Linked DNA regions of Oryza sativa Japonica Group. The protein of the gene in region 3 binds, or shares a complex with, the protein of the main gene of each other region. Links are inferred from orthologs where the notes say so. Each region holds a gene or a part of one and is shown on either strand. Other genes may lie near its edges.

Evidence for each region.
Region 1: mediator of RNA polymerase II transcription subunit 15a (region 3) and mediator of RNA polymerase II transcription subunit 21 share a complex: the UniProt entries of both Arabidopsis thaliana proteins name them as parts of the mediator complex. The link is inferred for Oryza sativa Japonica Group from reciprocal best matches to the Arabidopsis thaliana genes NRB4 and MED21.
Region 2: mediator of RNA polymerase II transcription subunit 15a (region 3) and mediator of RNA polymerase II transcription subunit 8 share a complex: the UniProt entries of both Arabidopsis thaliana proteins name them as parts of the mediator complex. The link is inferred for Oryza sativa Japonica Group from reciprocal best matches to the Arabidopsis thaliana genes NRB4 and MED8.
Region 4: mediator of RNA polymerase II transcription subunit 15a (region 3) and mediator of RNA polymerase II transcription subunit 28 share a complex: the UniProt entries of both Arabidopsis thaliana proteins name them as parts of the mediator complex. The link is inferred for Oryza sativa Japonica Group from reciprocal best matches to the Arabidopsis thaliana genes NRB4 and AT3G52860.

Annotation. Positions count from the first base shown.
Region 1 is NC_089042.1:2,024,256-2,029,246, forward strand, and holds mediator of RNA polymerase II transcription subunit 21, read right to left. Parts: upstream 3,515-4,991; 5' UTR 3,400-3,514; coding exon 3,076-3,399; intron 2,775-3,075; exon of another isoform or gene 2,692-2,774; intron 2,555-2,691; coding exon 2,483-2,554; intron 2,210-2,482; coding exon 2,158-2,209; intron 2,044-2,157; coding exon 1,967-2,043; 3' UTR 1,956-1,966; intron 1,487-1,955; 3' UTR 1,253-1,486; downstream 1-1,252. Other genes in the region: major pollen allergen Ole e 10, read left to right, coding at 133-202, 360-403, 560-809, 902-927. UniProt on the Arabidopsis thaliana protein: Component of the Mediator complex, a coactivator involved in the regulated transcription of nearly all RNA polymerase II-dependent genes.
Region 2 is NC_089037.1:18,123,373-18,128,625, reverse strand, and holds the start of mediator of RNA polymerase II transcription subunit 8, read right to left. Parts: upstream 3,553-5,253; 5' UTR 3,381-3,552; coding exon 3,157-3,380; intron 3,034-3,156; coding exon 2,909-3,033; intron 2,132-2,908; coding exon 2,007-2,131; intron 1,902-2,006; coding exon 1,718-1,901; intron 1,583-1,717; coding exon 1,475-1,582; intron 1,262-1,474; coding exon 1,194-1,261; intron 874-1,193; coding exon 613-873; intron 405-612; coding exon 351-404; intron 252-350; coding exon 45-251; intron 1-44. UniProt on the Arabidopsis thaliana protein: Component of the Mediator complex, a coactivator involved in the regulated transcription of nearly all RNA polymerase II-dependent genes.
Region 3 is NC_089042.1:28,443,105-28,447,560, reverse strand, and holds the end of mediator of RNA polymerase II transcription subunit 15a, read left to right. Parts: intron 1-297; coding exon 298-1,743; intron 1,744-2,546; coding exon 2,547-2,888; intron 2,889-3,141; coding exon 3,142-3,336; intron 3,337-3,412; coding exon 3,413-3,501; intron 3,502-3,616; coding exon 3,617-3,818; 3' UTR 3,819-4,139; downstream 4,140-4,456. UniProt on the Arabidopsis thaliana protein: Component of the Mediator complex, a coactivator involved in the regulated transcription of nearly all RNA polymerase II-dependent genes.
Region 4 is NC_089039.1:3,231,562-3,236,451, forward strand, and holds mediator of RNA polymerase II transcription subunit 28, read right to left. Parts: upstream 3,380-4,890; 5' UTR 3,308-3,379; coding exon 3,115-3,307; intron 2,717-3,114; coding exon 2,604-2,716; intron 1,745-2,603; coding exon 1,610-1,744; 3' UTR 1,253-1,609; downstream 1-1,252. Other genes in the region: U1 small nuclear ribonucleoprotein A, read left to right, coding at 577-867. UniProt on the Arabidopsis thaliana protein: Component of the Mediator complex, a coactivator involved in the regulated transcription of nearly all RNA polymerase II-dependent genes.

The DNA of each region.
Region 1 (4,991 bases), about 26 Mb from region 3:
TTCAGCGTTTCCTCGTGCAAAGAATTCCAAACAAAGAGCCCAAATCATTACGCTGCTGCTGCTTCTTCTGACGCATCATAATACAGAGAAAGAAGCTCATTGCATTCTCAGGTTCAGAAAGAAGGAAAAGAGATGGCTTCAGCTACTGCCTCATTGCTCACATGCTTCTTTGCTCTCGCACTCTTCATGCTGCACAGCAACGGTACACATCTCTCACTTACAGCCTACTTTTCTTCATCAAACATTTTTTCTATTGTTTTTGAAATCAGATGAGATTTTGTCTGCTCAAAATAATCAGCTCCATGTTTTCCAATCCTCATTCTCTCAACAAAATGCTCCACAATCTGTATTCCATGCAGCAGCAGCAGCAGCAGCAGCAGCACCCAGCCTATACCATAGCCAGGTAAACAAACAAACAAACAAACAATTCTCAGTTCTCATCAAGAAATTTCAGTTCTCCTTAATTCTGCAGCAATGCAAACAAACCCAGAATGGCAGCATCATATGATCTTGCCATGCTCATCAACTGTTCTTGCCTGAAACTGAGCAAAACCTGCAGTCATCCAAGACATGGTGTGTCGCAAATCCAGCAGCCAGCGAGGATGCTTTGAGGGCTAACCTGGAGTTCGCCTGCTCGGAGAGCGACTGCGCCGCCATCCAGGGCACCGGCGGATGCTCCTTCCCCGACGACGATGGCAGCCTGCCGACGCGGGCGTCGGTCACCATGAACGCTTACTACCAGGCCAGGGGGAGGAACTCATGGAATTGCTTCTTCAACGGCACTGGCCTCATCACCATCACTGATCCCAGTAAGTATTAGCCTCTTCAAAGCTTGCTTCACTTGCTGTTTCTTTCACCTGAATCCTGCAAATTTACATGGCTTTCTTGCCAACCTTTGCAGGTTCTGGCAATTGCAAGTATGCCTGAGTTGAGAGTTTGCTCCAAGTTAGCCAGCCAATCTCTGGAGCTTGACAAATAAAGTTTTCAAGGGATGTTTTGTTTGTCCAAGTGCCCCTAGAAAATATGGTGTTCTATATTTCAGTGTCAGAGTTGCTAGAATTCAAGTCATGTTTAGCCTCAATGTTTGGGTAATCTTTAGAGAGGAATGCTTTATACCGAGATAATATTGTTCCATATCTTCAGTGCAGTTCTTCAAAGTTCAAAGAGTATGAATCCTAGGCATGTCTTAATTGTATTTGCATAGCACTATATGGTCCTGTGCTGCTGTGAACGAACAGTGGCCCAACTATAATAAATAAACATGAAGTTATGCTCAAATTATTTCAGATTAAACGAACCAGCTTGAAACTATTCAAGTTACTGTAAATTACAGTGCTAGGTTTAATTCCTAATCCAACAAGTACTACTGGAATATTGTTGAGCATCAGCTAACTTGATACTAAAACTGAGTCTACATGTAGCATCGGCAGCTGGCATTCACATCTCCACCTTCATCTGTTCATGACTCCAAAATGGGTTCCGTTACCTGATATGACAGGAAAGCAAACATAAGTCATTTTAGTGATACTACGATCATACGTAACAACACTGTGTTGGAATTTTCTGATCAACAGAAAGACAAGCCCCCAGAGGGTTTTATGAAAGCATCTTGCGAGGGATTAATATAACAGGTCAACATCCACCATAATTATGTTTTGTTCAGGCCATCATCGTACATAAACTACATAAACCAATAATTGATCATGGACATGATGCCAACAGCCATCTAGTAAATGGTGCATGTAGAATATTGTACTGCAAAAAGCACCATAAGAACAAAATTGTTATCAGTATCCTGACTTCCTGATAATACAGTGTACCAAGTTTGGGAAGTCAAGCGGATTATACAGCTGGTCACAAAATAATCCCATATCATAAGCGCAAGCATAATTTTTTGCAAGCACAAAAAAAGCTAAAGATTTATTGAGATAGTGAAGGGAGAAATCCAAACTTACATTGATAACTATTACTCTGGCTTCTTCAAGTTTATACAATGATCTGTAGCTTCATTAAAAAGAGCCTCAACTTGCTTCAGCTCCAGCTCTACAAAAGCAACAAGACATGTAAAACACTGGACTTGTAAATAATCAGTTGTAACATGGTGAGGAATTATATAATGAAGGCAAAATATTCCAAGAATGTAATAGCAAAGCATACCAGCAGCTTCCAGTTGTTTCTGAAGCTCTGTGCCTACAACTTCATTCTCTGCCTGCGCATTTCAAATTCATAAGCATTTTAGCTGCAGGACACAAGTATCATGAATACTGATACTATGGCAGGACATGCTGCCGAGCGTCTGCTAAACCTTCATTCAGAAGAAAGCAAGCGACTAAGGAGGACAACCTTAGTATGAAACTCCATCCACAAGGCGTAGGAAAAAAAAAACAGAAGGAAACATGCACAAAGATACCATCTTCACAAGACACTAGCTTAATGTCACCCTTTCACAATGTACTGCTCAGAGGGCAAAACTGAGACATACCTGTAGCTCTTTAATTCTTTTCAGCTGATCCTCTTCAGATGATAGTGGCAACGCAGAAACAAGAGCATCAAACTGCATAAAAAAACCAAAAAAAAAAGAGAACGGTATTGGAAACAGTAGCTAGTAGCACATTTCAAGTGTACTCTCAGATGCAAAGTTTGCCCTCTGGAGACAGAGGTTGGTGTGCTGCATACCATCATCCCACCTACATTTTGCGAGGAACAGTACAAAGATTGGTGTGATCCACATCATCGTCAACCCTTCTTTGCGAGGAATAATATGAGTGAAGCTCCTATTTTGCAGATCCATTCAAAATTATCTCGAGAGGGCTAAAAAACAGCACAATGCAACTAAAGTACTCTACCACACTACATGAACAATCTCACTATAGAAGATATGATTCTGTAAGTAGAAGAATTTTCAAAGAACCAGGCACCCTGACCGTGGTTGCAATCACACAAAAATGCTAAGGCTGGTCACACCAAAAATTACAGTCCAAGCCCTAAAGCGTCAGACCCCAAGAACCAGCAGGCACTCAGGCATTTCATCGAGCAGGTGGCAAGCAGAGAAGATAAGCGACGGAAGACGCGTACCTTCTTGGCGGCGAGGACGAGCGCGTGGCTCATGGCCTTGGGATGCTCGGCGAGGTCGAGCGCGGGCGGCTGGGCCTGCGCCGGCGGAGCCTGTGCCTGCGCAGCCGGAGCTCCCGCCGCCGCCGCCGCCGCCGCTCCAGGCTGCGGCTGGGCGGGGTCGTCGGGGTTAGGGTTTGCTGCTGCGGCGGCGGCGGGGTTGAGCGGGTCCGGGTAGTTGTTGGAGAGGCGGACCGGCGGCGCGTCCCGCTGCAGCGTCCCGAAGGTGTTCACCGCCACCATCGCCATCTCGTTCAGCTGCTCCTGCAGCTGCGAGATGATGTCCATCTCCGGCGATCTCGTCCCCCTCCTCGCCGCCGGCGACCTCCTCCTCCTCCTCTTCTCCCTCTCCTTCTCTCTCCTCCTCCTCTCTATCCACCAAGGCCCAATTACATCTAGGCCCATCAAAGAAAACTGGTGGGCCCAGCACATCGACAGTGCGCAAGCCACTCTCTGACTGGCACGTGGGCCCATGGCTAGCTTGATTACGAAGGAACCAAGGGACCCCACGCGGAAAATTGCATCACATCACCACCACGCGTCCAGATCTGATCCACACACAAATGGATCGGACGGCCCAGGATTAAACCAAACTATTACTAACAATTAACTCACCCGATTAGTTAACACTAATTGAATCGGACTTGGACTCTAATCTAGACTAATATAAAAAGCACGAGTTGTTTAGTGTAATTAACACCATGATTGCAATTAGCGCCGGATTAATCCTGCGGTTACAATTAGCACCGGATTAACACCGCGTCTTGCTCCGAAAAAAGAAACTGCACGCCAAAAAGAACGAAAAAAAGAACGCACGCCAGCCACGCCGCCCGCCTCACCTGCCGCCCGCGTGACTTCCCACCTCGCCTCACCCGACCATGCCAGGCCTCGCCGCCGCCGACAATGTGACTTCCCACCTCGCCTCACCCGACCATGCCGGGCCTCGCCGCCGCCGCCGACCATGAGCCTCACCCGCCGCCCGCGTGACTTCCCACCTTGCCTCACCCGACCATGCCGGGCCTCGCCGCCGCCGACCATGAGCGAACTCCACGAGCAGCGCCAGCGACCGACCCACGCTGCCCGGATCGGAGGCGAAGGACAACAGCCCGGGGCCGCCTTCATCGACGCCGTGCGCGCCCAGTCGATCCACGGGAGCGCGGCCGCGGCCGCAGAGGCGGCGGGGGAGCGGTAGGTGATGACGTGGACGCGGCTCCTCGTGCTACCGGCGAGCGGGACAGGAGGAGGAGGAGGAGCGCGAGGGCGGACGCGGCGGCCGCGGCCACGGAGGGAGCCTATCATGGAGGAAATGGTCTGAGGAGGAGGAGGAGCTAGGGTTGTCGCAGCCTCTTCAATGGTGATCTCCTGCAGGAGGCGAACGGGAGCAAGTATCAGCAGCAGAAGCTGGGTGGTGTGCCCTCGTCGCAGCCGCATCATCTGAATGTGAGTGACTCCACAAGAACGAGAACCCTGAATTGAATCTGACATTTACCATTGTTCTTGCATCATTCATCCAGTGGTAACGTTTTACATGTCTTGGATTGTTGGATGACATTGATTTCAACACTGGAAAATTGTTGTTTTTTGCTTCGGGACAGCAGCAAGTTACCCCAGCATTGACAGCCTGCAGATCGACCACAAGCCGGCGACTGCGGCGGGACGCCAGTTCGGCTCGGCCTCCTCTCCTCCTCCTCCGCCGCCGCCGCCTCCGAACCATCCCCAACGTCATCCCCTCCGAGCACGGCCGCGCCGCCGACCACGCGGGCTTCCTCGACGCCGTCGACCCTCTCCTGAATCTCTCTCTCTCTCTCTCTCTCTCTCTCTTTCTGAATCACCCACATACGAATCAATTTAGAGATTTACCCCCATTGTTGCATCTATTA
Region 2 (5,253 bases), on a different chromosome or scaffold from region 3:
CGTTTTTTTGCACTAAATTACTAAAAAGGAGGATGCTATCTAACCATCTGTGAGTTCGAAGATGCCTGTGCAGCAGTAAACATTGCACTGTTTGCAGCTCCAGTGAACTGGCTAATATGACTTCTTAGCTGATTTCCTTGGTTCAGTTGACTCTGGGACATGCCAGGTTGCATGCGCCCAGCTTGCATCTGCCTATTCTGATACTGTTGTGACAAGGCTTGATTGTACTGCATCTGCTGTTGGCCAGGGACCTATAAGGTTTTACAACAAGTTAAAAGGTTTGTAAGAAATTGTTACTGTTTCAGCAAGTAGAATACATAGAAAAGGGAAACAATCAGTGGTAGAATTACCTGTAATTTTTGTTGGGATTGGCCCTGCAGATCTTGTAGCTGAGGAATTGCGCTCTACAGGAAAAGTATGGAGAATCAAGCACTAGAAAAGGAAGGAACAATGCTTTGAAGTAAATGAAATGGAATAATTTTAAGACAGCAGCATAGAAAATGAAAAGAAATGTGCTTTTAATAGCTACATAACCTTTGGGTGCTGTGACAACTGAGATGATAAACCGTAACCCAGACAACAAAAAAGCCTCCGAAATAAAAATTACCTTACCTGTGCTAGCATCCCAGCAGCCGATGGTCTTAGTTGCTGTTGAGCATGTAGCTGCTGTTGCTGAGATGTTTGCATCAGTTTTTGCCTATGTTGTTGTGCCGTCAAATGCTGCTGGGGTGAAGGGGTGTTCATCATATTGGTCCCTGACCTAGGGGAGTTTGCATATGGCATTGGAGGAGTAGATACATTTTCAAAATTAGGCGTTCCTGTAGCTCCAGGTGATGGAGCAGGTCTGCCAAGTAACTGTCCTCCAGACACCTGCTATTAGAATGAAGGCCCAAATTTGAACATCAAGATAGAAACATCAAAGGCCTGCATGAGGTCAGGTTGGTGATTGCTCTTATGAAATGCAATTGTCTTAATAATAGTTCAAGGGAAAGCATTCTAACCAACACTTAATACAGTTGATCATAGAAAGGAATACCAATATACCATTACAAATTATATGGCAAATTGATACACGGGAAACAAAACATCTGCCTTTTGTAACTTTTTTTGCTTTCAGCCCAACTAGCAATAATATGGACATATTCTATTAATTTCGTAATGGTCAAAGCTGTTATTACTGGCACTAGACAAACCTGCATTGGATTTCCCTGGGCGTTGACAACATTAGGTACAAATGTTGAGGTATTTTTGGGGTACACACCTGCAAGTATAGACTCTAGTTATATGCTTTTGTTGAAGCATTGTGTGACATACAGACTGCACAAATGGCAACACTAAGGGTAGCAGCAAGTTATTGATTATTTTTATATAAAAAAACATCTAGAGCAGATGAACAACTCATTGATGCTATAGTTCCAATGCTCAAAACAAGGAGTGAACCATGGAGAATTGTAGGTATGTCACAGAAACAGACCAGAATTATCACCAAAATTATGTGCCCCATCTCCAAAAGGAAGTACGTCCACTAAATGGCTAGGAAGAGATGAATACATCTGCCTTTGGTCTCCCGGTACACGCAATCCTGGATAATCAGACTAAATCATCATGGACTATAAACAATGAAATTGTTACATAAAAGGAGAAGCTTATGCTAAAATTAAATTCAAAGTAATTTTTAAACTGATAGCTATATTAATACACCATTAATGCTTATCACCTTCACCATAATTTACCGCTGCTCTAAGTAGGCCTTCCTGCTCCTGTATCTTTGCAGCCTGTGCCTTGTCCAATGTAGGACCAAGATTTGCCCCCTGACGGGCTCCTAGACCATAATTCTTGCGACTTTCAGCAATTACTTTCTCAGCTGTTTCACATGCACTTCCAATCATATCTATCCTAGTCTGAAAGGAATAGCAGCAAGTCCCATTAAAATTAACAGATAATGAAAAGATCACGCAGGTATAATAAGCTACATAGGTTTGCATTTTCCAGACAGAAATAATCACCTTTAACTTTTCAATTTGTCCAGAAACTGTTAGATTCGTTATTCCAGACAACAAGTTGTCCCTCTTTGTAGCTTCTTCAGCTTCCATCTCAGGTAACAGCTTTGACGACAGCATTACAGGCAGTACTGCAGTACTCACGAATATCAAACAGGACTAACGATGTGGTAAAACTAGAAGCAGATGAACATGGGAACACAAATTGCGATGCATCCCAACCATATACAGCAACCGTGACCAATTAGCATCTTGTTAGGTCATTTTTAGATTCCTATCACACTTATCCCAGAAATAGGAAAGTGTTGACAAAAATGGCTACCCATGCTACATTAGGAATATCTTTACCAATTTACCCTAGGATAAAATTCGTTTAACTAAAGCCAATTAGCCATATCAGCCTGAAGTTTAATCTCAATATTTAAACCAAAGGAATAACTATTGCTAGGAAGTGAGAAAGGTCAACAATTGGTTCTTCATGTGTAAAACAACTCGTAAAAGAAATGACATGTATATATATGAACTACTCATTACCAAATGCAGCATAACCATAATATCTCATATATCCTTGTTGCTCATAACAGAAATCACATAGTATATTTCTTGGTTCTCATAACAGGTGACCTGTCTTCTCATCTGGCTTTGGGCACCATTGAACATGAGAAGACTCTGTTTGGTAAGGTCATGGAATCAAAAGTGGTCTGCTTAGCTGGGTAGCGTGTAACAGCTGCCCAAGGCAATATTTTGTGAAGGTTTGAACTACGCAGAGCAATTCCATTCTACATTATGTTCATGTATTCTTCTTCCCACAAACTTTATGCTTGTGGATCTACCTAACTAGTGTGGTTATTACTGATATAGCGATCGATTGGTGACACAAGAGAAGAGAAGTGGAACAGCAAGCATACTGGCAGCGTTTTCGGCATTAACGTTTCGGGGGTAGACCACAAACACCTTGGACACCTTCTTGATGTCCTCCACGATATTGAAGAGCTCCATGCTCACCATCGAGAATTGCCCAAGCACATCCTGCCTGCCATACACGCACCACGGCACGAATCAGCATTGCATAAACCCTAGAAAGGGGAAGCTGAATCCTCTACAGAGTCCAGCGGGCGATCGGGGGATGGGGGAATGGAGGTGAGGCAAGTACTACCACTTGGGGGAGGCGTTGGGGTTGGCGCGGGCGATGGCGTCGAAGTCCTCGAGGATGCGGGAGATGGCCTTGTACAGGCCCACGGCGCGCGCCCGCATCCCCTCCAGGTTCAGCTGCTGCTGCACCCCGGCGCTGAGCCGCTCCGTCCGTGGCTGCTGGTCCCCTCCTACGGGCGCCGCCGGGTTCGGCGCCCCGGCGGCCGCCCCTAGCGCCGCCGCGTCCATCCGAGCTCGCCGGATCTGCTGCGTGGAGGAGCTCGCGGGAGTTGGGGGGCTTCACAGGAGGCGGAGATGGCTTCACGCCGGCGGCGGAGGCGGCGGAGATGGGCCGTCGGAGTTAGTAGGGCGGCGCCGGAGAATTTGAGTGTTGGAGAGAGGGAGACCGCGAGATGAGGACGGGAGGGGGAGGTGGTTTTTCCCCGTTTTCACGAAAACCGGTAAAATCGGCTCAAAGTTTGTTAAAGAAAAAAAGAAAAGGTTCGCTTTGAATATTTTTTTTCAATAAAAACTTACCAAAGAAAACCGAGCAATTTGTGTTGTCCTGTAAACCATGGGATACGAGCGAAATAGACAACAAGCCTTGTTTAGTATCCGGAATTACTTCATAGTAATAGGATACGTTCCATTTCATGTTATGTTGCTTTATATTGAGACGAATGAAGTAGATTAATTTATATATTTCACGAGGAAATTTTTTGATTTTTTAACCGTTAGATTCGCTCCAATATTCATGTAACTGGGGATGGGAAAAATGAATTTTCTTGGAAGAAACACTTCTGATGCTATGATAGCATGGTTTTTTAATGTAGTTACATATAGTTAATATAATTTTATTATAAGTAGTGAAGTCGTATAAGTTGTAATGGGAAGTACTAAATTTATGACAAACATTACATGATTAGAGTTCATTTTATGACATGTTCTATTTTTTGTCAATTAGCTCCAACATAAACTCATGTTTTGAGCAAACCCCAAACATCAATATTTTGGTCCCATGTTATCTCCTTCTACTATTGCATAGGCCAATTTCATACTACCCCTTATAAGGTTTTAATCCAACCCAGACATAGCGTTGTATGTACTACAAACAACAATAAATTATAGTAGAGTATTCTTGCTTGTGAACACTGAAATCATATCATTTAACTCCTTATATCTTAAATCTCAAGTTTTGTTGCTTTCCATAAAATTGAGGACAATGCTAACAGTAGGAGCTAAGATCATGGTACTATTTGTTACTTTTTTTAAGTAAAATATATGGCCGGTCTCTAAACTTGTGTTGTGCTGTTACTTAGGTTCATGAACTTGAAAATTACACGTTTAGGTCCGTGAACTTGGTTTAGGCTGTGTTTAGATCCAAAGTTTAGATCCAAACTTCAGTCCTTTTCCATCACATCAACTTGTTATACACACACAACTTTTCAGTCACATCATCTCCAATTTCAACCAAAATCCAAACTTTGCGCTGAACTAAACACAGCCTTAATGTATCACCTTGGTCCAAACGTCCTTTGGCTGTGTTTGACCGCCAACGTGGCATGCCACGTAGGCAACACTTTCGCTCTCAGCTCCCTCCGCGTCACAACACGTCGCATATATCTCCTTGTAGCTATATTGTGACACCAGAATCCCAAAAAAGAAATCCTCAAATCGCTTTTCCCTCTCATTCTTCTCCCTACATGTACAGAAAATACTCATAATACCACAGGATTTCTACACTTTGACTATTATAAATACGGGATGTTGTGGCATTCACTATAAATTTAAATTTTGTTAATTGAATTTACAGTGCAAGGTTACCATCTAAAAGGAAGTTTTGTCTAGTAACTTCTTCCCTGTATTAGTAGTCCTCTTGCCATTTGTTCTTCACTGTTTCCTACTTAACTGAAATCACAACAGCCGTCAGGCAACTACTTTCAAACGAAAATTTGTCCCCTTCATCAGAAATTAGGTGACTGAACCCTCCTCCTGCTGCTGCTGTTGTTTCTGCTGCCGAAGATACTCATGGATGGAAGAACGGAGGACACGATTAGGGATGAGTTTGAGATCGGGAAGGACCAAGTTCGTCATCGGAGACCTATTATTCCCGCTATCAAAC
Region 3 (4,456 bases):
AGATAGAGGATTCTTTGTGAATGTGGACTGTATAGCATATTGTATCTAGATGTGATAAGGTTATGATGCAGTTTGTAATCCCTTTCTCTTGACCTTGCAAGTTCAATCAACACCATGTTTTCTACTGGTTATTATAGTTTTTTCTTTAAGTTCCCTATGCATGTAATAACTATTCGAACAATCTTTGCCTGCACCATATCTGTTAGTTAAACAACAGGCCTTGGTTTACTGAATGGTTTCTTTTCTGTAGTATCCATCCCTTCATAGCTTTTGTGTTTTTCTTTCTTGTGATCACAGGTGAAGAACTTAAAGGACCAATATTTTCCTGAATTAAATGATTTGTACAATAAGATCTCTTTGAAGCTACAGCATGTTGACAACATGGTTCCACCTCAAAAGCCAACAGAACAGTATGAAAAGATGAAGAATTTCAAACTGATGTTGGAGCGTACAATGCATGTTCTGCAATTGAACAAGGGCAACATTCAGCCTGCCCTTAGGGACAAAATTCCTGCGTACGAGAGGCAAATTATCAGTATCCTAAATTCGCAAAAGAGGCCAAGGGTGCAAGGCCAGCAGACACAATTTCAACAATCTGCTGGGCAAGGTCCTACCTCTAACATTCCGCAACAACAACAACCTTCCCAAGGTTTGCAGCAGCATGATAACCATACTAATCAGATGCCTCAAGCAAGCATGCCAAGTATGAGCACCGGATTACAATCCTCAGGTGCAGCTGGTATCCAACATTTACCTGCATCCCCAGCAACAAACTTTGGTGTTCCAGCAACACAGCAAAATGTCACAAATGCACCACAGGCTACCTCTAATTTGGAGGTTACTCAAGGAAGCAATTTTAATTCTTTGCAGCATGGTTCAATGAGTGGTGCTTTGCAACAGGGAAGCACTGGGCCCATGCAGGGTACACTGAATGCACAACAGCAGGCCAGTAGTAGCATGTTATCTCACAACTCAGTAGGTACAATGCAGGCTAATGCCAATTCCATGCAAGCCAACGCAAATTCATTACAGCAGCTGAAGCAGCAACAGCAGGAGCATCATATGATGCAGAATCAGCAAATGAAGCGTCAAATGTTTCAGCAGTTCCAGCAAAAACAAATGCTTCAGCAGCAACTCCCAGCACAGCAACAATTACAGAAACAGCAGCAATCACAGATGCAGGTTCCACAGCATCATTCTGGAAATGATGCAAACGAGCTGAAGGTTAGACAAGGAGCTGCAATGAAACCTGGGATTTATCAACAGCACTTGGCTCAGCGCAATAACTTTTATAATCAGCAAATGAAACAGGGCAGTGCTTTCCCAATTTCGTCACCACAAAACCTCCAAGCATCATCCCCCCAAATTTCACACCATTCTCCTCAGGTTGATCAGCACAATCTCTTGCCGTCTCAAGTGAAGACCGGGACACCATTGCAGTCAGCTAACTCACCATATATGCCATCTCCATCGCCACCTGTTGCCCCGTCTCCTATACCAGTGGATTCAGAGAAACCACTCTCCAATTTATCATCATCACTTACTAATACTGGTCAGGCTACACATCAGCAAACAAACATGGCGCCTCAGTCACAATCAATCGCCGTTAACACTCCAGGGATCTCGGCCTCACCCTTGTTGGCAGAATTTACAAGTGTTGATGGAAATCAGGCTAACATGCCAACCCAAGTTCTAACCAAATCAAGTGCAGCAGAAAGGCCTTTAGACCGCTTACTTAAAGCGGTCAGTAACTTTGCCAACTTTTTATTTACTGTCTTTTCTTCGTTTCTGTAGTGCAAAATAAATTTATTATTTAATCAGTGCTATTCTGAGTATATTTTAAAGCGTAATTAACTATGGCATAAAGAACACAGTAGGCTCAGCTAAAATATTTAGTTCAGGAGTTATATATGCCATGCCTTTTGCTTGTAACCTCGTGCACCTACCTTGCTAAAGTTAATACAAACATTACCCTGTTTCAATCAACTAGTTTATCAAACGATAACTAAAATGATGCCCAAAGGTTGCAGCAGATCTCAGATAAGTATATCGTAAATTCTGAACTTGATAATTATGTCAAAAAGGGATACTATGCTAAAATCCCAGTCACATGCACATATGCGTGTGCTAAGGGATTATGCAAATAACACACATGTTAGATCTGTACACAAATATTTTGAAGTCAAGGGGATGCAAAGCATGGGAGTCATCATGCCTGGTCATTTCATGTTACTGCTTATTTAAAGTTGACTCTTTGAGTCTTGACATCTGAAGAACTTGATAGGTTTAGCATTGACCTATTTTATTTATTTCTCTTCACTATTGCTCTGTGGAATCTAGCTATGTTTTCCGGATAGCCTGTTTTGCTGCTGTGCTAAAAGAGAAGAAATCATTAATACCTTTTATTCCCCTCAAATTAGCTTCCTTAAACAAATTTTGATCATATAGAAGGCATATACCCTCCCTTTAGATTGAAATTGAGGATTTACCTTCCTGTCCCTTTTTTTTTCTTGCATGATTCATGTCCCTTGTGTTCTGTATGGCAGTTGCGGACAACACAACGCCAGTCCTTGAGTGCTGCAGTAAGCGACATAGGTTCTGTTGTCAGCATGATTGACAGGATTGCTGGGTCTGCGCCTGGTAATGGTTCTAGAGCTGCTGTTGGTGAAGATTTAGTTGCTATGACAAAGTGCCGATTGCAAGCCAGGAATTTCATAACACATGATGGGACCGGTACATCAAAGAAAATGAAGCGTGACACTAGTGCTATGCCTCTTAATGTGTCATCAGCTGGAAGTGTTAATGACAGTTTGAAGCAAACATTCAGCATAGGTACCCCTGAATTGCAGTCAACTGCAACCTCACGTGTAAAGTGGCAAAAAACCGAGGTATGCTCTTTATTATTTCATAGGGATCAATACATTATATGCCTCAGTGATCAGCTTCACAATCGTTTGTATAGATGAAACTTAGTGGCATGATGAATAAACTAAAATATCATGATTATCCAGCTGTTTTGTTTCCACAATGACTTCCATTACATATATGGGCCCAGAGAAGGGAAGTATAGTTAAATTGACGGGAGCTATTCTAAATTTTTGGCTACCTTTATTATTTATCTTGTCTCTGGTGCACCTGCAGATAAACCATGCTCTTATGGAGGAAATACATGAGATAAACCAACAGCTCATAGATACAGAGCTCCATGTTTGCGAGGATGATGCTGAGTCTTTTGGTGCTACATCAGAAGGGACAGAAGGGACAGTCATCAAATGCACATTTACTGCTGTGGCTGTTAGCCCCAGCTTGAAGTCCATGTTTGCATCAGCACAGATGGTAAGCTTCTCAAAGCATGATCTGTGGTATCGGCTTTTATTGTTCGCTGATGTTCCATGTTAAAAATGTGTGGCAGAGTCCAATTTTGCCATTGAGGGTGCTTGTCCCCGCTAGCTACCCTAAGTGCTCCCCGGTTCTCCTAGACAAGTTCCCAGATGAACAAAGGTCAGTATCCAATGTTTTATCAGATTCTACGCCAGGTACTACATATTAGGCTGTCCTGATTCTCTGTACATAAATAAACTAAGGATGTTGCATTGTGCTTGTGAATCTGCTATAGAAACTCGGATGACCTGTCGACCAAAGCGAGGTCGAAGTTCAGCATATTGCTTCGGGGTTTAGCTGAGCCCATGTCACTAAGAGAAATTGCGAGGACGTGGGACGCGTGTGCCCGCAAAGTAATTGCTGAGTATGCTCAACAGACTGGTGGAGGCAGTTTCAGTTCGAGCTATGGTTGTTGGGAAAATTGCGTGGGTGCTTAATCCCCATTCTTCTTCAGTCCTGCTGGCACCAATCTTCGTTTTGCATCGATATTGTGCGATCGCTTGCACGCCCTTAACTGGAACGGTTAATGCATCGCTCTATAAATATATGCACATAAATATATGTAACCATAATTAACATTTTAGCAAACATGCAATTGCTACTGGTGTGTACTTATTTATTATGTGTGGTTGTACTTTTGGAAATCCTCCCTGTTTACTAGCTGGATTTGGTAGCGGCCCCTCTTGTACAGAACAGTCTACATCTCCAGCCTGGTTTGATTCTAATATAAATATACTGTGAGATCGCTGCTCGTAATATATGTTGTGTATTGACAACAGTTGAAGGACGTGTGATTTTCTGAGATGTGCTGAGACCAGTTTCGTCGGACGTTTTCTCTTTTCTTGTGTGTTCTTTTCATATGCGGAATGGCGGTAATCAATGAGCATGTACAGAATATAAGAAGATCAAGCTAGGGAAGTATTTGACATTTTTAGCTTGGTTGCTAAGGGTGTGTTTAGTTCCCGCTAAAATTGAAAGTTTAATTGAAATTGGAACGATGTGACGGAAAAGTTGGAAGTTTTATGTGTGTAGGAAAGTTTTGGTTCGATGGAAAAGTTAGAAGTTTAAAGAAAAA
Region 4 (4,890 bases), on a different chromosome or scaffold from region 3:
CACTTTTCACTGTTCCATTGCATATGTCCGCATGGGCACAAGCTCCACTCATGTTAGTTCCTTGTGCTCACATGTACTGATGCACACATTTCCCTCTCTCTGCAACACAGAAAGTCTGCCTGTTGTTTCATCATTCTATTTTGGGAATAGAATGTGCATGTGCATTAGCCAAATAGGCAATTGTCCTGTCCTCCCTGTAATTAGCCATCCAATACATTAAGGAGATTCACCCAGCAATTAGAAATCACAACCCATGCTGTGAACCTAGTTTGAGGTAGCACGGTGCTAAGTGGAGGCAACAATCACTTCTGTAGGGATGCATTTGTTTATACCCTTAAGAAAGTCTCTTAACGTGTTCAACTAAAGGAAGATAATCATCCAAACTATAGATCGAATATAATGCTAACAAAGAAAACTAATACAAATGACCACGGCAAACAATAATCACAAGCATAAAGACCACTGTTTGTACAGTAAGCATGTTGCACATTTAAACGCCCCTATTTCTGCCTTATATTTTTCTTGGGCCCACTACTTTTGGATTCCTTCGATTCATTGGCTCACTGTTTTGTGCAGCTCTCTCAGCTACCTTTTGCTGGCGCACAGAAGGTCATGATGCCGGAGATAATTGTACCGAATAACATCCTCTTCGTCCAAAACCTCCCACATGAGACGACCCCTATGATGCTTCAGATGCTCTTCTGTCAGTACCCAGGGTTCAAGGAAGTCAGAATGGTTGAAGCAAAGCCTGGGATTGCTTTCGTGGAGTACGGCGACGAGGGGCAGGCTACCGCTGCCATGAACCATCTTCAGGGGTTCAAAATTACGAAAGATAACCAGATGCTTATCTCGTATGCGAAGAAGTAAATGTACTATTGACTTGCTCGATGAATGTTGTAGTCCCAAGTTTTCGCATAATCCATAGATTTTCATTGTTAGGTAGACTACACCATGACAACCATGTTAATGTACTACTGCTCAGCTGCCCGTGTGTGTTTCAGGAATGAGATGAAATTTGAACCATCTTTGCAGTCGTGAGTTCTCCTAGTTAGTTCCACTCGTGTTCCCTTGTGTAAAATATGGCAGCTTGAGACGATTTACATTTATGCTATTGCTGTTAGCCTCGTTAAAATATTTACCATCTCATAGTCATACTTGTGTAGTTGTGTCACCATGGTCACCTGACAGCAACTGTGGGATTCAATTACCATTAAATCATTAATATGTTGAAAGAAACATCTAAAATGACAAGTGAGGCAATTAGACAATTCCATTGAACACACATGTTATCATACACTCCTATAATCGGGAAAAAGATGTTGCTCCGAAAAATCTAAAAGTTTAACATGTTAGGCATGCCTAACACGATGAGATGGAGAGCACACGAGAAACTACGAACAATAATATTATGATAAACCGAACATAGCAACGAACATTAATACAGCGCAATTTGTTCGTCTTCGGCAAACTGGTCAGATCCTAAAACATTGTTGTGGTGTTTTTTTTTTCCTGGCTGGCGTACTCAAAATCTCCAAGGCATAGCCCAGCACTGGGCTACTCAGGTTGATCATCGGAAGGAGCCTGGGACATTTCATGGAAGACAGTGGTGTCACACTCTTTCGAGTTCAGTAACATGCTTTCCCAGCTGGTCCTTCAGCTCTTTCTGCCACCCTTCGATGAGCTTCTTATGTTTGTCGATGAGCTCGGACTTGGTCTTCAGCTCTTCCTCCATTATAGCAATATCCTGCAAACCGAAACTGGACATGTTAAAACATGATGACACATTATTATTTGATTATTACAGCTTGGGGACCACGCCATATAGGATTTCTCTTGATTTCTCCCATGAAGCTTATAGAGAAAAATCGATGCACAATTTTTTTTTTACAACGGTTGCAATATAACATCAATATAATTGATTTCAAAGAGAGGGTCAAATGGATTTTATACAACCAATCTAGATAGCTTTAAACTTATTGATGGGCCAAATATTAAAAACCATTGGATCTCAAGCACTCTAAAATGTTGAGCACAACGAGTACTAACACAGAAAAAAAACTTCAATTAGACATCTCAGAGAATTAGTGCTAACAATACGGGACTGATTTAGAGCTGGCCCAGTCAATTCAAGACTGTAAAAGAGACAAACTCAAGCCCTTATCTTTGAAAATTGAATATTTTTTAGACCTTTTCCCTCGCCATCCCCAAGCTCTCAGCCTCCCATGTCTGTGTACTCTGGTGTCAAATCGTTACTCTGTGCTTACCCAACCTAGGGCATGTTTGAGGGAGCTTTTGGCAGCTGCAGCTTTTCCTAAAATTAAAAGCTCACTCAAACAGTTCAGCTTTTCATCTAGATTCTGAGAAGATGTAGTTAAAGAATACAGAAAATAAACTAGAAACAAGAAACCTAACTTTCCAGCTTCTTCATATTCTCATAAACTGACTACCAACCAATTGCTTCTCAAAATCTTAAGCTCCCCCAAACAAGGTCCTAGTTCTACCTACAGGCTAATTTGCTAATCACAAAGTTCTAATTTGCTAATCATTTCGAAGTCAAGGAGTACCTTTCGAAGCAAAGTTGTTCCGAAAGCAATGCAATGTACCTTTCGAAGCATTTCTTCTGTCGACGGTCGGTCCTCGCGCTGCAGGCTGATGAAGTAAGACTGGAGCTTCTTCGCAGCCTCCATGAAATCCCTCGCGTGCCTCTCAACATCAACTGTTCCACATTATAACAACCACAACACCTTAGAATCCCTATTTTGCTAACCAGCAACAAAGCAAAAGAATCCAATTTCTACATCGACAGTTGAGCACACAGATGTAGAACGCTCAAATGCCACCCTCTCAATCTCATCTCAGCACCCGCGAGACGCCCGCGTACCAACAGCGCAAGTAAAAAGAAAAAATAACTTCGCCACATTTTGCTAGAGCACGAGGGGCTTCCTAATCCCCACCTCGTAGGCAAAACAGCGAACACCTGGCGGGCGGGCGAGTCGAACCAAACCAGCCGCGCCAAATCTTGGCCGGGGGAAGCGCAAGAACGACGGGGAAGGGAGGCTGCAGAGGGAGGAGAGAGGGGGAGCGGCGGGGTCAGTCTCAGTGAGTCCGACGTACTCTGGTGGGAGGATTGGAGGGAGCGGTCGACGGCCTGGAGCTCGCGCGCGGGGAGGCAGGGCAGCAGCGCCGCCTCCAGCGCCGCCACGCAGGCCATCATGTCGTCGCGCGCGCTCTCCCCGGGCCCCTGCTGCTGCTGCTGCGCCGCCTGCGGCGGCGTCTGCGCCGGCGACTGCGACGGCGGCTCGGCCATGAGAGCGAGAGACGAGAGAGAGAGAGGTGGGGATCGCAAAATTGCAATGAAACCCTTCTTCCAAAAACTACTAGAAAATGGGTGCGCCTGGCGCACCTACTAAGGCTGTGTTCAGAGGAGGGGCTTGGGAACCCCTCCTCCTGCCACGCAAAACGAAGTTTATTTTATTGCATGATTAATTAAGTATTATCTAATTTTATTTTAAAAAATAGATTAATATGATTTTTTTAAACAACTTCTATATATAAAGTTTTTTTATAAATCACACCGTTTAGCAGTTTGAAAAGCGTACACGTGGAAAACAAGATAGGTGGGTTGGGAAAATGGGGGGAAGAACATAGCTTAAAAGTACCCTGTAAATATTTATACCTTTGTTAGGATGTATAAATGTTTTAGAGTTATTTAGACTTAGTTTGATTTATTAGATATATAGATATATATACATATATATATATATATACATATATATATATATATATATAATGATATTTATGATATTTCTATTTGGAAAATAAATCTGGAATTCTATTTGGGAAAAATTCTAGGTCTATAAATATTTTTTTCTAAGTTAATTGTCTGAGTTTGAATAAAATGCACCAATATATAAAATAATAAATAAATGCAATAAAGACATATTTCATGATGAATCTAATTAAACTAATTTGGTGTTACAGATTTTGTATTTTTTTTTATAAAGCCAACCGGTGTTAGAGAAGTTTAACTGAAAGATAAACTTAGATTACAATATGAACATATGGAGTCAGTGAATTTCCGTTGTATTTTAGAAAAAAGAAACATGAAATGCTAATATTTTTTTTCCTATGCATATTGTTTAAGTCCCATTTATCTTTATGTTTGTGTATTTAATCTTGTGTTAAACATCAAATATGGCAACATATATTGCTTGACTTCGTGACTTTCTGATTTTTTTACTGTAGCATAAAAGTGAACACACTTCTTTGCTGCTCGACACGTATGCATGCGGTTGTCATAAATACATCTAATTAATCGATCAGTGATAGTCACAATTAACTTAATGTTATCGGTAGATATTTCTTTTATTGATGTAATATACTCCTTAGTTGATTATAAGTTATAGCAGAATCTAATATAGCATTAGGTTAGGTTGGTGCCATTTTGGGGAGTACGACCGATGTACCCAGTCGGCTAGTCAATTGGTCTAATCTATACTTCTTCAAAAAAAAAAACGGAGATATGTCATATAGTGAATATGTCATCATACCTACCCTCATTGTAAATTTTGTAAGTTGCCCCTTAAATTTCTTAATATTTAAAAGATCAAATCTAAATTGATAGTCAAATAAAAAAATGATTAGGTAGTGTTTGAATCTCCTGAAGATGAAGATTAAGTGTTTCACGCAAAACGAGGTGATAATAACATGTGATTAATTAAATTTTAATTATTACAAATTTGAAAAATGAATTAATCTGATATTTTAGAACAACTTTCATATAGAAAGTTTTCGTACGAAACACACTGTTTAGCTGTTTGAAAAGTGTGCCACGAGTATCTAAAATTTTATCCTCAGATTGCATAAGAAATGAACATGGCCTAAGATGAA